Linked DNA regions of Ovis aries. The protein of the gene in region 1 purifies or fractionates together with the protein of each later gene. This does not show direct contact. Links are inferred from orthologs where the notes say so. Each region holds a gene or a part of one and is shown on either strand. Other genes may lie near its edges.

Region 1 (7,183 bases):
GCGCCGTGTCTCTACGCAGGCCGTCTCCGCTGCAAGCGCAGGACGCGTGTGTGTTTCTGTTGTGCTAGTCCCCTTTGGGTTGTTCCAGGTCTGTCCGGGCAGCGCGTCCCTGCGCCCCCGCACCTCCCCGCTGTGTGTCCCCGCCAGCTGACGTCTGCGCCCGGCGCGCAGAGCCGGGTTTCCTCGACAAGTGTGCGCCGGCCCGGGCGCCGCGCGCGCGCCGCCGCCGAGGGGCCGTGCCGGGGCCCCGCGCCCGTGTGCGCCCGCGCCGCGTGTCTGCGCCGGGCGCGCGGTGGCGGGGGATGCGCGCCCGCGGGCGCGGGGGCGCGGGCCGGGGCGCGGCGCGGGGGCGGCCCGGGGGCGGGGGCGGGCGGGCGGCGCGGCGGGGCCCCGCGACCGCGGGCTCCAATGGCGAGGCCGGCGCGGCCCCCGCTAATTACATAAGCGGGACGTCAATAATTCGCGGGAAAACGCGAAAAAGATGGCGCCCCGCGCCCGGGGGGCCCCTTCCTGAGCGCCCGGGCCCCTCCCTCCTCCTGCTCCGGCCCCCCTCCTCCCCCCGGCGCCCCCGCCCCGCCCCGCCCCCGCCGAGACCCCGACCCCGGCCCCACGGGCGGACACTCGGCCGGGCAGCCGCGGGCCGAGCGCAGCCGCCTCCGCCGCCGATGCGCCTGGTGGCCAGACTCCAAGTGGGACCGGCGGACACGCAGCCTCGCGGTGAGTTCAGCGCTGCAGGCGGCCGGCCCGGGCCGGGGACTCCTCGCCGCTCTCGCCTCTCGCCGCAGTCATCCCTCTTTTGGAAGTTTCCCTGGACTTTGGCGGGGCAAACGCCTCGGGGCCGGGAGGGGGTTTGGAGTCCTGGGGAGATGCTCGCCGGGGGCGGGGGCGCGGGGTGGTGGAGAGGGGCGCACGGTGTCTGCGGGGCGGCGGGAGCCCCGCCCGGGTTCCCGAGCCTCTGGGGGGGGGGGTGGCGTGTGTGACAGGTCGCTGTTCCCGTGCCCCAAATCTTTACTTTTCCTGTTTGGTGGGGGGACGGGCCTGGAGACCGATGGGGCCGTTTGGGATTTTGCTCACGTCCGAAGTCAGGCTGCAGCAGGATGGGGATGGGGGGAGGCCTGGCGTCGGAGCGATTGAAGATCGGAGCGCTTGAACCCGAAGGGGGGTCCTTCTGCAAGCGTTTTCCCCTCCCGAACACCCTTTTTAAAAAGCCAACGGCCGCCCTGGGAGAGGCCCCGGCGCATGAATCATCCTTGCTTCCTGCCCCCGCCCGGCCCCGCGCTCCGGGGGCCGCGGATTTGAACTGGACGCCGACGAGAACCCGCAAACAGGCATTTCTTTGCAGATGGGTTTGAATCAGCCAATCACAGCCCGCGGGGGCCCGCTCCGGGAGGATGAAGGCGCGGGTGGAGGGGGGGCCCGCCACCCGAGGGCCCCCGCCCGGTCAGGGAGGGGGGTGCGGCGACTGGGCCTGCTCCCAACGGCGCGGCGGGGGAGGAAGTGTCAGTTTGTGAACCTGCCGCGGGCCCGGGCCAGGCCCGGCGGGGCAGGACCTTGCAGCGCTCGGCAGCCAGGTGGCAGGGAGAAGGCAGAGATTTGGACCGCACACCCTGCCCGGCGCCTGTGCGCTGTGCCCTGGAGAGGAGGGAGGAGTTGGGCGGGGGGAGGGAAGAGGATGCGGCCGCGCCACCATCTGGAGAGTGAAGACCCCAGCAATGCCCTGCGTGCCCCGGGGCCCTTGACATGCACACGCATGTGCTCCGTTTCCTTTACTCGCCGCCACAGAGCTGTAGACATCAAACACCGCCTCACAGGAGCACACACGCACTCACACGGAAACACACACACGACTGTCTCCCTGTAATCTACAGGTAATCATAACACCAGGTGCCCAGCGCCTGGACAGAGGAGGGGACTGGAACAGTGGGTGCAGGGAACAGAGGGGGCTGTGCTTAGTGGAGAGTGTGTGGAGCCGCCTGGAGCCAGGTGAGCCCAGATTGAGGAGGAGAGGGCCTTGGGGTGGGGGACTTTGAATGCCACTGAAGGCTTTGGGGAACCACAGGAGGTTTCTGGGAGAAGAAGAAGATGGGAAATTGTTGGCCCTGGAGAGGAGTCTGGTGGGGAGGCAGGAAGACAGGGAGTGGCCTGTTTAGCGCTGTGCCTAGGTGGTACCATTCTGCGTCCCAGGTGCCCAGCAGCTGAGTGAGCATGAAACAGTTATTGAATGAATAAATCAATGGCCCAGGCAAGATGAGGCTTGAACTCAGACCAGGCCAGGGAGATGGACAAGAGGAAGCCAGAAATCACTGTGCTTGAAGTTGGCTGCTTGTGGCAACTCATAGGTTGGAGAAGTCAAAGATGCTGGGTTGTTCTGGGGACCAGAGTAGTACTGTTAGCAGGAAGTGGGAAAGCACCAGGAGCAGTAGGTTTCATAGGATGGTGAGAGACAGATGTAGAGAGGTTGGCATGGCGATGACTTCACTGCTTGGAGCCAATTTGCATCTGAGTAAAAGCATAAGTGAGTTTAAATGTCCCAGAATTGGTTTCCGTTAAATCATCCCATAACTGAGAACAGCAAAGGAGATTACAGAAGACACAGATGGCCAAGTCTATACCAGTTCATAAGCCATCAGTTTTCCTTTCTAGGTGAGTTTTCTCCATAGCTCTCAGGAGAGGGAGCAGGGGTCTGAAAACCTCCCACTGCTCTCCTGGAGAAGGCCCTCCACTCAGAAAACACGGGGTATGTTTGCTTTAGGGATAAAACCTCTGGCTCCAAAGCCAAGGGGTATGGTTCAGATCCCCCCCATACACACACCTGGGCAGGAGGATTTTGCTCTGTGGTTGGTTGAAAGAGTTGTTCTCTGTACAAGGCTGCGTGGTAGGGGTGGGGCAAATGCAGAGTATAGAATCGGCTCACCTGGTTAAGGACCATGGCTCTGCCTCTGAACCCAGAGCCACTTGCCCTTGCCAGACTTTAGTTTCCTGACCTGTAAAATGGGAATAACATCCAGTAAAATGGGAGTAACATCCAGTGAGATGATAAAAGCATCTGGCACCACACAGGTTACATGAATGGTTGCTGCTTTCCTTCCTCCCCTCTCTCCTGAAGGAAGGAGTAAGAATCCTGTTCCTTCTCTTCCAGTGTCAGTGGAAGCTGATGGAGAATCGAGCTCTGGACCCAGGGACTCGGGACTCCTATGGTGCCAACAGCCACCTCCCTAACAAGGGGTCCCTGGCAAAAGCCAAGAGCAACTTCAAAGACCTGATGTCCAAGCTGACGGAGGGCCAGTATGTGCTGTGCCGGTGGACAGATGGACTGTATTATCTTGGGAAGATCAAGAGGGTAAACCCTTCCTCCCTGGCCCCAGTTCCCCAGGCTTAGCATCTCTCTGCTCATCCCTGGTCCCAGCCTCAGACCAGGGCTGGAGGATGGGAGATTGCTGTCAGATTCCTGCTGCGCCCTCCTGCTCCAAAGCTGAAAGTGGAAGGAGGCAGAGCCTGCAAAAGCAGGTGCCATCCTTAGGGCACCTAAGGACATCTTTAGACAAGTGCTCTGTGAGCCGACAAAACAAAACAAAATCAGGCTGGAGAGATCGTTTGGCCTCGGTATTCCCACCAAGTTGCCGTCACCGAGCACCTCGATGCCCAACTCCAGGGAGTGGGCGTGCACAGCCTTCAGGACCGCCATTCTCCTTCTGGCCTGGCTCTACTTTTTGGAGCACAGAGTGACTCTTTGTGACCCCATGGACTATTCCAGTCCATAGAATTCTCTAGGCCAGAATACTGGAGTGGGTTGCCATGCCCTCCTCCAGGGGCTCTTCCCAACCCAGGGATCGAACCCAGGTCTCCTGCATTGCAGGCGGATTCTTGGAGCACAAGGAGGGAGTCTGATCTCTGTGCCCTGTGGGGGCAGAGATGGGAGAGGAAGACGGTGTTCCAGTGGCTTTTCCCCACCTACTGTCTCACCCTGCTCCTCCCTCTCTCTGCTCCAGGTCAGCAGTTCTAAGCAGAGCTGCCTCGTAACTTTTGAAGATAATTCCAAATACTGGGTCTTATGGAAGGACATACAGCATGGTGAGTATCCTGTGACCCCTCACCCCTACCCCACCCTGGTCCACTCTCCTCTCCTGCCTCCATTTTCTTCCTTCTCTCCTTCTGTCTCTTAACTTCCAGCATCTGGCCGTGTCCTTGGAGATTACCAGTTGTACATTTATATGAGAACTCATTTATGACACCTGTCACCCTCTTTAGCATTCATCCCTCATGCAGGAGGCAGGTGGATGGAGAAGGCAGCTTGAGGAGGGGTGGGAGAGCAGGGTTGGGTCCCAGGCCTGTGTGTATTTCCCGGCTGCCCAAAGCTCTGGGTCCCTCTGGGGCTAGGAACAGAAGGGGCCCAGGCAATCGGAATTGAAACCTTTCGGTGTAAGCACAGTGTCCTCTATCAGCATGTTAAAAAACTAGGAGGCAGCTATCTCTGTGGGGGAGAGACCCACCAAGCCTGGAGGCAGCGTGATGATGACGTAGCAGGATGGAGCTGGGCCCGTTTCCAGGGCTGAAAGGGATCTGGGTTGGGTTTCACCCCTGCCCTCAGAGGGCTGACACTGTCTTACAGAGATGACAAACTGGGGGCATTCTTGCCAGCATGTTCCCCTGCCATGTGCATGACAGACATCACTGATCAATCACAACACTCATTTTCAACATGGAGCGCCAGGCAGCCGCTCCCAGTGAGTTACCATGTGAGAACAGACCTTTTTGCCATTTACGCTCTAACAGGAGGACTGACGTGGTGGTCTGTGAGGAAGAGGCAGGTTTTGGAGCTGGCCTTAAACAAGACCTGGTCCTTGTACCAGGCTTCCCTGATGGCTCAGCAGTAAGGAATCCATTTGCAATGCAGGAGACACTGGCCACACGCGTTTGATCCCTGGGTCAGGATGGTCCCCTGGAGAAGGGAATGGCAACCCGCTCCGGTGTTCTTGCCTGGGAAATCCCATGGACAGAGGGGCCTGGCGGGCTGCAGTCCATGGGGTCTCGGAGTCGGACACGACTTAGCAACTACACCACCACCAGTGCTGTTGAGTTGCAGGGAGTCAGTTTCTAAAGAATCTGTTACCATAACAGATGATATCAGGAGCTTGCCAAGCAGAGACCACAGGACCCAGCCAGTTAGAAGAGTTTCCAGGCTGCCTTCTTCTCCAAGATGTTGTGGCTAATGCAGGCTGATGCTTCTCCAGGCTCTTCTCACCCTAAATGTACTGTTTCAAGATCCAAAGCAATGAGGGTCTCCTCTCCTGGGCTACCTTCTTATCGAAAGCAGAAGCAGCCAGCTGATGAGGAAAGACAGTTCACCTTAGCAAACCGTGAATGGAAGGCCCGCTGTGTGCCAGGCACCAAGAAGGTGCTGCAGTGCTCAGCGGAGGAGCTGCGTGGCTCCCAGATCACTGCTCCTCACGGAGGACAGGGGCCCTCTGCTTTCACCCAGGATGGGGGCACAAGGCTGAGCCTTCTGCGGGTCCTAAGCCATGGCTTCATTAAGCCAGTGGAGACTTGCTGAGACCACGGTGCTCTTGGTACTCTTAAGAAATATAACTGCTGTCAACTGGCAGACGGTCATTTAGTATCTAATGAGTAGTAAAGGAATGGAAAGTAACACAAGTACTATAATAAGCCAACCTATTTTTATTTCCTTTTCTAATCATATGAATGTGATTTTACATGAATTTCTGAGATTCAAACTTTTCATTTTTTAAGTAAGTGCTTTATTTTCCTGGGGTCATATTCAGGAATAAGAGGCAAGAGACTGTTTATTCAACAAACATGTTTTGAACATGTGTGATGTGCCACACCGACCAGAGGTCCTGGGGACACAGGTGAACAGATACCTTTTCTGTCCTTACCGAACTTTCCGTCTGCTGAGGGAAAGGAAAGTCCCTCAGTGGTGTCTGACTCTTTGCGACCCCATGGACTGTAGCCTACCAGGCTTCTCAGTCCATGGGATTTTCCAGGCAAGAGTACTAGAGTGGGTTGCCATTTCCTTCTCCAGGGGATCTTCCTGACGCAGGGATCGAACCCGAGTCTTCCGCATTGTAGGCAGACGCTTTACCCACTGAACCACCAGGGAAGCCTGCTGCTGCTGCTGCTAAGTCACTTCGGTCGTGTCCGACTGTGTGCAACCCCATAGATGGCAGCCCACCAGGCTTCCCCGTCCCTGGGATTCTCCAGGCAAGAACACTGGAGTGGGTTGCCATTTCCTTCTCCAGTGCATGAAAGTGAAAAGTGAAAGTGAAGTCGCTCAGTCGTGTCCGACTCTTAGCGACCCCATGGACTGCAGCCCACCAGGCTCCTCCGTCCATGGGAGTTTCCAGGCAAGAGCACTGGAGTGGGGGGCCATCGCCTTCTCCGCCAGGGAAGCCTAATGAGACTGAAACACACATGACCTTCACACACATAAACGCATGTTTATTCTTCAACATCAAACTTCAAAGATAAAAAAAAAAGAGAGATGGAACCTGTAGATTTAAAACGATTGAACAAACTTAAAATTGTCATGGACCATGGAGACAATTAGAAATGTGAACGCTGAATTTGTTGATGATATTAAGAAATTATTTTTAATATTTGGGTTCCATGGAGGCACTAGTTCTTTTTTCTTTTTCTTTAAGAGAGTAGTAATCTTTCAGAGATGCCTACTGAAATATTTATGGAAAATGATTGGCTATTTGGGGCTTGATTCACAATAAAACAGGAGGGGTAGAGGGTGGGAATATAGTCAAAACAAGACTGGCTGTGAATTCGTGACTGTTGATAACACAGAGTTTCGTTATAACATTTTATTATGCCATAATAAATGGTTAAAAGTTATTTAACATAAACAACTGTAACAAACCAAGCTAAATTAAGCAGGAGAGGCAGCACGCTGTTGTCAAAAGAACGATGATCTGGGGGACTGCTCTGGTGGCCCAGTGGCTAAGACTCTGTGCTCCCAATGCAGGGGGCGCAGGTTCAACCCCTGGTTGGGGAACTGGATCTGACATGCCTCAGCTAAAAAATAACCCTTGCCACAGTGAGTATTAAAAGATCCTTCATGCTGAAACTAAGACCCTGCATATCCAAATAAATAAATACTAAAAAAAAAAAAAGTTATTTGGGACTTCCCTAGTGGTCCAGTGGTTAACACTCTGGGTCT
Region 2 (7,631 bases), on another chromosome or scaffold:
CATGATAAACTATAATGGAAAAGAATATGAAAAAGAATATATATATATATATATATATATATATATATGTATAACATCACCTTGCTGCACAACAGAAATTAATACAACATTGTAAATCAACTATACTTCAATAAAATTTTTAAAAATTCATAAAGGGCAGTCAGGAACTGGCTACAGGTTTCAAAAAATATACTAGTGACCAGTCTCAAACCACAACTTGTGACTCATCCCAATCGCGAAAGCAATGTAGGGAGTCATTTGAGTATTTTAAAAAATGAAATGAAGTACCAGAGTGCACTGCACATATTAAAGGCTAGCACTGTGTGGTATAACTTGTTTTGGTTTATATACAAGTGTACTAATCTGTAAAACACAGCTGGCATGGAGAAACCGGTGGTTAACACTATAGCAATTTTGAGGTAAGCAGTGTTAGAAAAAGGTACCTAAACAGAGCATCTCCCGGTTAAGATAGTCCACACCTTGTGAGTGCACTAGCTTCAGTCCTGTCCGAATCTTTGCGACCCTACGGACTGTAGCCCGCTAGGCTCCTCTGTCTATGGGATTCTCCAGGCAAGAATACAGGAATGGGTTGCCATGTGCCATTTTCTCCTCCAGAGGATCTTCCCTATTTGATTAGTAGACTTAGCTAAGTGCAAGAGAGACAAAAAGACAACCACAGAGAAAGTAAGAGAAAAGATTAGGACCAGAGCTAAGTAGGTGGGATGAAAGGCAAAAAAACATTCACTTTATCCTCTGAGCCACTAGAAACTCTAAAAAAAAAAAATTACAGTTTGCAATTCAAGGGAGAAAAACTGGTATCACATTTTTGAGGCAAAAAAGTACCTAGCCAGAAAAAAGACCAAAAAATTCTGGAGAAATAAAACTGGCAGATTCAATTTAACAACAACAAAATCCAGAACTAACAGAGTATGCTGTACCAGATACTTTTGAATTAAGTGTATGATAGCACCCAAATATTTTCACAAACTCCCAAAATAATCTGTTCTGTATTTCCTACTCAGACACTTAGTGAGGTGGACAGCATAAAGATTTTAAAATCATCATCTGGAAAGATTTCTTTCAACTCTTTAAACATTAATAGGTTTTAGAAATCATGCCTACCCATCAGAAAATAAGTAAAATATATTAATGGGAGACTGGAAAACAGCTGCCAAGCCTTCAATTATTCTAGAACAAGGTGGGCAAACTACAGTCCTCCATCTAAATCTAACCTGCCACCAAGTTTTTGTAGGGCCCAGGAGCTCAAAATTTTTTTTCCATTTTCAAGCGGTTGAAAATAATCAAAAGAACATTTTGTGACTCGTGAAAGTTATATGAAGTTCACATTTCAGTGCCTATTAAGTTTTATTGGAATACAGCCAGGTTCACCCATCTTGTCTAGGGCTGCTTTCTCGCTGTAACACTGACGAGTACTTGCCCCCAAAGACTGAAATATTTACTATCTGGCCCCTTTTAGAAAAAAAAAAAACATTTACCAACCAGTGTTTTAGAACAAGAGGGCTGTGTTTAAACACCCTTCCAACCCTCTTCCCTCTCCAGCGCTCCTCCCTTCCCCAGCTTCAGTCACTAACATTCCTGGGCCTGACATGAAAGGGAGAGCGTTATAATAATGAATTGTATCATATCGGAAACCAGAGACACCAGACAGTAAATTTCTATATAAGGTAATACGAGTGGTTCTGCCACGGAATGCCTGGGTTTATTTCCCGATCAGAAAAGTGGGCATCAGAGCAGCAACTGCCCGATTTCTTTTGAGAATCTCCACCGTCGCTTGCAAGAAGGCACTTGGAAAATAGCACAGCAGCAAGTGTTCTGGGGCAGGGGTGCTTTTGCAGGGAGGGCCTCCTCTCAGAGTCTGGATGTAGACTGAGGTTGCCTTTGCGCTAGGCTCCTCGGCCACCTCCCCCTAGCCCGTCCCCTTTGCTCCTGGCCCTCATTTTCATTCCTTTTTGGCCTTGCAGCCTGCTTTCTCCTCACCCCTGCGTACCCCTCAGGGGCTACCAAGTTCCAGGACAAAGCAAGGCTCAGGCAAGCCGGTCCCAGGTCAGCTCTACCCAGTTCTTTCCAGCTTCGCCAGCCTAGGGTGGGGTCACCCTGGGACCCCCGCAGGTTACAAATGACTCAGCAAGGCCCAAGGCTAGGAAGAATACAAGAATGGCAATGCAGGAACAAAATCCTCTGCAGTACGACAGGGCTCAAATATCATCTTATAGACTCGAATTTGTTAACAAAGACGAAACTCAAATCAGCCTCGGGGCGCTGGCGGCCTGTGCTTGAACAGGCCGCAGGTTTAGCCTACAAGGCAGGCCCAGCGGCTTGAACAGTCGGAAAACGCCCGCGGCCTCTGCTAAAGGCCCCCTTTGCCTCCGACAATCCCACCTCGCCTCGACCAGGCCCCAGAAAAGGCCAGTCGGCTGGAGGGAGAACTTTCAGAGTGCACAGACTTATGCATGTCCGTGACTGTCAGGGAGACTTTGAGGGCACAGTAGTCTCTCGAGACTAGAAACCATTTTTCTCTCTAGCGCTGAGATTTTGCTTGGCTAAGCGGCAGCAGCCTCCCAGCCCCCCAGCCCCCCACCCCCACCGCCAAAGCCGCAGCAAGCAGCCACGTCCCGCGGCCCCAGGGCTCGCCGCCCCGGGGCTCGCAGCCCCCACGCAGCTTGCACGCCGCGCCTCCTTTCGCCCCACCCCCTCGCGCCCCCATCCGCCCCCGCGGCCTGCCCTGGGAGCGCCAGGCGAGCCCTCGCGCCTGCGCCTCGCCAACTTCCTGCCGCGGAACGCCCCACCCACCCCCAAAAGCCCGCCTCCGAACGCCGCGTTAAACCTGCCTGCCGCCAGTCATTGGTCAAAAAGACGAAGCCGTTGGCTCCGAGGCCCACCCAAGCCACCGCCTCTCACTTTTCCCAGGGCGGATGCGCCTGCGCTCAGCTGCCTGGGCGGGCTGGGAGGCGCGGGTTGAAAAGTCTCGTTCCAAGTTTGGAGAGAGAGAGAAGAGCGCCTCAGACCTCGGTACCCGCAAGCGGGGAGGAGGCAGCAGAGAAGGACGCAGCGTCTGGGGAGCTCCCAGGCTGTAAGACGGAGCTCAGGCTTCGAGAGCTAGAACTGTGTGACGCGCCTGGGAAAGGCAGGAGCGCTTGTGGTTGGGCTGCTCTTGGCTAGCAAGGGGAGTCCGAGGCGGCGGCGAGGGGCGAACGACCCGACGCAAGATGGCGAGTAAAGAGAGTAAGAGGCCCCGCGGGGCGGCGCGCGGCGGGGGGCGGTGAGCGTGCGAGGCCGCGGCACGCGCCGGCGAAAGGCGCGAATTGGCGTGAGGAGCAGGGGGCGGGGCCGGGCGCGAGGCAGGGCGCGCGCCTCGAGGGGCCTACGCGGGACGGGGCCGCGGCGCGAAGGGCTCCGAGCACTTCCGGAGCCAGGCGCGGGGCCGCGGTTGGGCCCCCTTCCCGCTACCCCCCGGCGTCACCCCCCTCTGGCGGCGGCGCTTGCTCTGCACCCGGGCGGAGGCGGCCTCCGTCGCCGGAAAGCGGGCACGGCACCATCTTCCACGCGCGCGCGTCGACCGCCTCGGGGTCGCGGCCCTTGTCCGGGGGATTCTGGAACCCGCCGACTTATGGCTGCCGGCTCGGGTTTCGTGGGAGCTGAGGCCTCTTCTGGTGGGGGATGGGGGGAGCGGGCCGATGCGTTTCTGCTACACGTGGATTCGTCTCGCCGGGTGGGTCGGGGAGCCCCTTTACATACGGGTCGTCATCTTGGAACAGGTGCGAACAGCTGTAACCGGCAAAACAATTGCGATATCTATGTAATTAATTGCCCAATATTGTATACGCAGGCGGTATTGATTTCAAACTGCAAAAAAATAAGCTTCCTGGTGTTAATATTCTCCTCGCGTTCTGGAAGACCAGTGAGTTGGTCGTGTCCAATTTAGTGGTTAAGAGAAAGAGGAGATAAGGTGTGGCCATCTCGAGGTGACCTCCAGTATAGATTTCGATCCCTTTCAGACACTTAATCGTATGGGATTTGTCCAAATTTCAGTGTTTGAAGATACTGTGGAGGAGCGTGTCATCAATGAAGAATATAAAATCTGGAAGAAGAATACACCGTTTCTGTATGACCTGGTTATGACCCATGCTCTTCAGTGGCCGAGTCTTACCGTTCAGTGGCTTCCTGAAGTGACTAAGTAAGGGTTTTTGTCAACTCTTATTTTGCATAAATTTTGCTGTTAACATGAATCTCCTAGTTTTTCGCGTCTTATACGTAGAACATAAACAAGTAATCGATTAAGCCTTTGGGTGATGTGGCAGGTGATTTTTATTTTCAAAACTGACTTACAGGGTGGTTTCTGACGTATAAATGTGGAATTAAAAGCGGACAGAGAATCTGTTCTGAGATTAAGGATATTTGTAGGATGCACCAGATACATTTGACATTTCTTGAACTTAAATGTAGACGCTGGGTTTTCTTTGGACCCCAAACTAATGGATTTCTTTAAAACTCAGTGGGAAAAGTGCACGAATCATAAGTGTATGGCTTGATGAATTTTTGCAAAATGAATACCTCTTTGTAACCAGCCCACAAGACGAATACGTTTTAATTGGCAAAGGAGAAAACAGTTTTGCAGCAGTTCACCAACGAAAAGGTGGTATAATATGATACATTTTGAGGTTGTTTTTGGTCTTCACCTCTTTGTAAAATTTCTCTGGTAATAATTGCTGACATTTGTTGAGCACATCTGAAGAGTTTTATGTCCTATTAGATTTAATACAACAGTACAATAATTATTTTTTATTATCCTCTTCTTTTTAATCGATGTGGAAATGGGCTGAGATGTTAAGTAACATGCCCCAGATCACACAGCTGGTAAGTGGTGGAGCGGGCTTTGGAATGCAAACCAGGTGGCCCCAGAGTTGAGGCAACCTCTGCACTAGGTTATGGTTCTCATACACTTGCACTTTTCCTAGTAAGAACCTGGCCATGTACTTTAAAAATGTATTAAATTTGATTGTTATGTGTATGTCATTTAATGAGGATTTATTAAACTCTAGAAGTTTTGCAACAACTTTTAAAAATAAGAGTAAATTACTTTGGTATAAAACTCATATAGTGGCCAGATTTTCCATATGAGAACATTGACTTCTACACGGTTAGGGACTTCTAGTGGACTTTTCAAAAATCTCAATGTAAATACACAGATGTGGGAAGAGGAGCCAAGAACTAAATAATGGAGACTTCTAAGTGTTGACATTTACAGCTTTGACCATCAAATGCTTAAGGGTATTGAGGTTCTGATGTAGTGCAGCACGGGTATTTGACTATGTCTTCCTATTAAGCAGATTAAGTTAAACAACTTAATTTGAATCTTTTTGATGTTTGACAGTAGAAAAGAGCCCAGGCTTTAAGGTTAGAGATCTGAATTTGAATCCTGCCCCTTGCTTCTTAGCTTTGTGAATTAGGGCAAATTGATCAGTCTCTATCCTGAAATAGTCTGGTCTGTAAATGGAGATGCTGAAAGTTCTTACAGCCTACATCTGAGGAAATGAATAAGATCACACATGTTAAAATGCTGGCTCAGAGTGAGTACACAGTAAGTGGTGACTGATGGTGGTTCTCCCACCCTTTCCTATTCAGAAATAAGTTGTTAGGGTGGAATAGCTCTGTTTCCATTTGTATTTCAATGAAAGCTGTTTAGTCACATTACCTATTATGTTTTTTGTGTAAAACACTTTAAAGATAATAAATCTGTGTTTTCTCAGCCCAGATACTACTTTTATATTAACACTTAGGAACTTAACAGAAAATACTTTATATATTCCATGGGGTTCTTTGCATACAAAGAAGTGGGATCTGGTTGTGGGATGGGCAGTGGCTCTGGGAGTGCAACAAAATGCCAGCCAGCCTGCATTCTTGTGTGTCGAAGACGGCTGAGTGGTGCTTTGCAGGTTTCTGTTTGGACTATGAAGGGACTGTGATTGTGTTTTATCACTATGTAGGACAGTAGAAATGTTGGATACTCTTACAGCCTGGCACTTTGAGAGGCAGGCCCTACTCAACCTCATCTGGCTGGTCTTCTGTATACATACAACATGCTTCCAAATGATTACTTGCACTTTCTGAGCTGTTGCTCTTAAATTCAGTTAGGTGATCATCCAAATAATTGATTTGGCTCTTTAAATTTTTATTTAGGTATCTCTAAGAAACTATTTTTCAAAACCAGTAGATCATTACTTCATATGTCTTATTGAATAATTTCTTAAACATATTGAGACTTATATGCTCTACCTAAAAATCTATGTATGCATTCAAATTCAGATGATACAAAGCTGCATAGAGTGAAGACTAAGTTCCCCTTCCACATCCTCTGTTCTTCTGGTTGCCTTACCCAGAGCAGAGTCATTTGTGATTTCTTATCCATCCTGCCGGCATGAAGAAGTACATGCTATGCCCCTCCGCCCTCTTTTTCTGTTAGGAAGTTGTTGACTTGACTTTGGATCTTAGTTCCCCAACCAGAGATCGAACCTGTGACCCCTGCAGTGGAAGCTTGGAGTTCTGACCACTGAACCACCAGGGAAGTCTCTGTTCACTTGATTTTTTAAATTAAGAGTTTGTATTGGAGACTTTTTTCCTATAAGCATGCTTAGATATATGAAGGGCTCGGTAGAATTCCTTTGTGGATATACTGTGACTTGTGTCACCAGTTCCTTATTGATGGATATTTGTTTTCAGTCTTTGGCTATTTCAGGCATTCCTACCAAGAATAACCTTGTGATGATAATCTGTGATTGTCAGGTGAATTTCCTTAAGTGGTCAAAGAATTCTGGCACTGAAAATGGACAAGGTCTTTTGTAACGAGTGCTTCTGCAGCCTTAGGTACATCCAGTATTTGAAGAAAGCAGTGAAATATTGATGGGCGAGGAAAAGTAGGCTTGTTTTTCGATGATGGTGATGAAAGAATTTGTAGTAAAAAGAAAAATCCTTATACGATGATGGAGTCAGAGGAAACTGAAATAATTGAATTTTGGAGTCAAAAGAAGCTTTTCAGACCCTCTAGTCCATGTTGTAATTCTACTCCTTAAAAAGGTCATATGATGAACTGATGTGTTTGACCGTAACTTTACCTGTAGGTCTTAGAATTTTTCTACTTAACGCTATAAAAAACAAGTCACTTTTCTTCCTTTTATGTCAGCCCTGATATTGCTGGTGCCTCCTTTCTCTCAAGTATTCCTATTTCTTTTCAAATGGTTCTCATGAGATATGTTTAAGTTCCCTTTCACTTCAAGCCACTATTCCCTGTAAAAGTTTCATTTTTGCCTAAGTCCTTCTAAAATGCATTGCCTAGAGCCTAATTTTCTAAGTGTGGTTTTCCCAGTCACAGATTAGTAGATGAATGCCCATGTGTATTGCCTCTTCCTACCCTATATAAATTCATGTAAGATGAAAGTAATTAATTTTTTTATAACCACATCGTATTCTTGGCCACTGAACACACATCAACTCAGACCCATGTCTTAATTTTTTAAATAGATTCACTTTTTTATTTTTAAAAATATTTTATTTATTTATTTATTATTTATTTGACTGTGCCAGATCTTGCAGGATCTTTGATCTTTGTTGCAGTC

The links. Proteins that work in one complex are often made in the same cells at the same time.
Region 2: the proteins of PHF19 (region 1) and RBBP7 purify together in Homo sapiens (affinity purification with mass spectrometry; 3 studies listed by BioGRID and IntAct, with this or other methods). This does not show direct contact. The link is inferred for Ovis aries from reciprocal best matches to the Homo sapiens genes PHF19 and RBBP7.

The regions. Positions count from the first base shown.
Region 1 is NC_056055.1:2,687,364-2,694,546, forward strand, and holds part of PHF19 (PHD finger protein 19), read left to right. Parts: intron 1-467; exon of another isoform or gene 468-1,868; intron 1,869-1,964; exon of another isoform or gene 1,965-1,983; intron 1,984-2,643; exon of another isoform or gene 2,644-2,737; intron 2,738-3,139; 5' UTR 3,140-3,154; coding exon 3,155-3,340; intron 3,341-3,989; coding exon 3,990-4,071; intron 4,072-7,183.
Region 2 is NC_056080.1:15,064,864-15,072,494, reverse strand, and holds the start of RBBP7 (histone-binding protein RBBP7), read left to right. Parts: upstream 1-3,361; 5' UTR 3,362-3,628; coding exon 3,629-3,776; intron 3,777-4,050; coding exon 4,051-4,195; intron 4,196-7,631. UniProt on the Homo sapiens protein: Core histone-binding subunit that may target chromatin remodeling factors, histone acetyltransferases and histone deacetylases to their histone substrates in a manner that is regulated by nucleosomal DNA.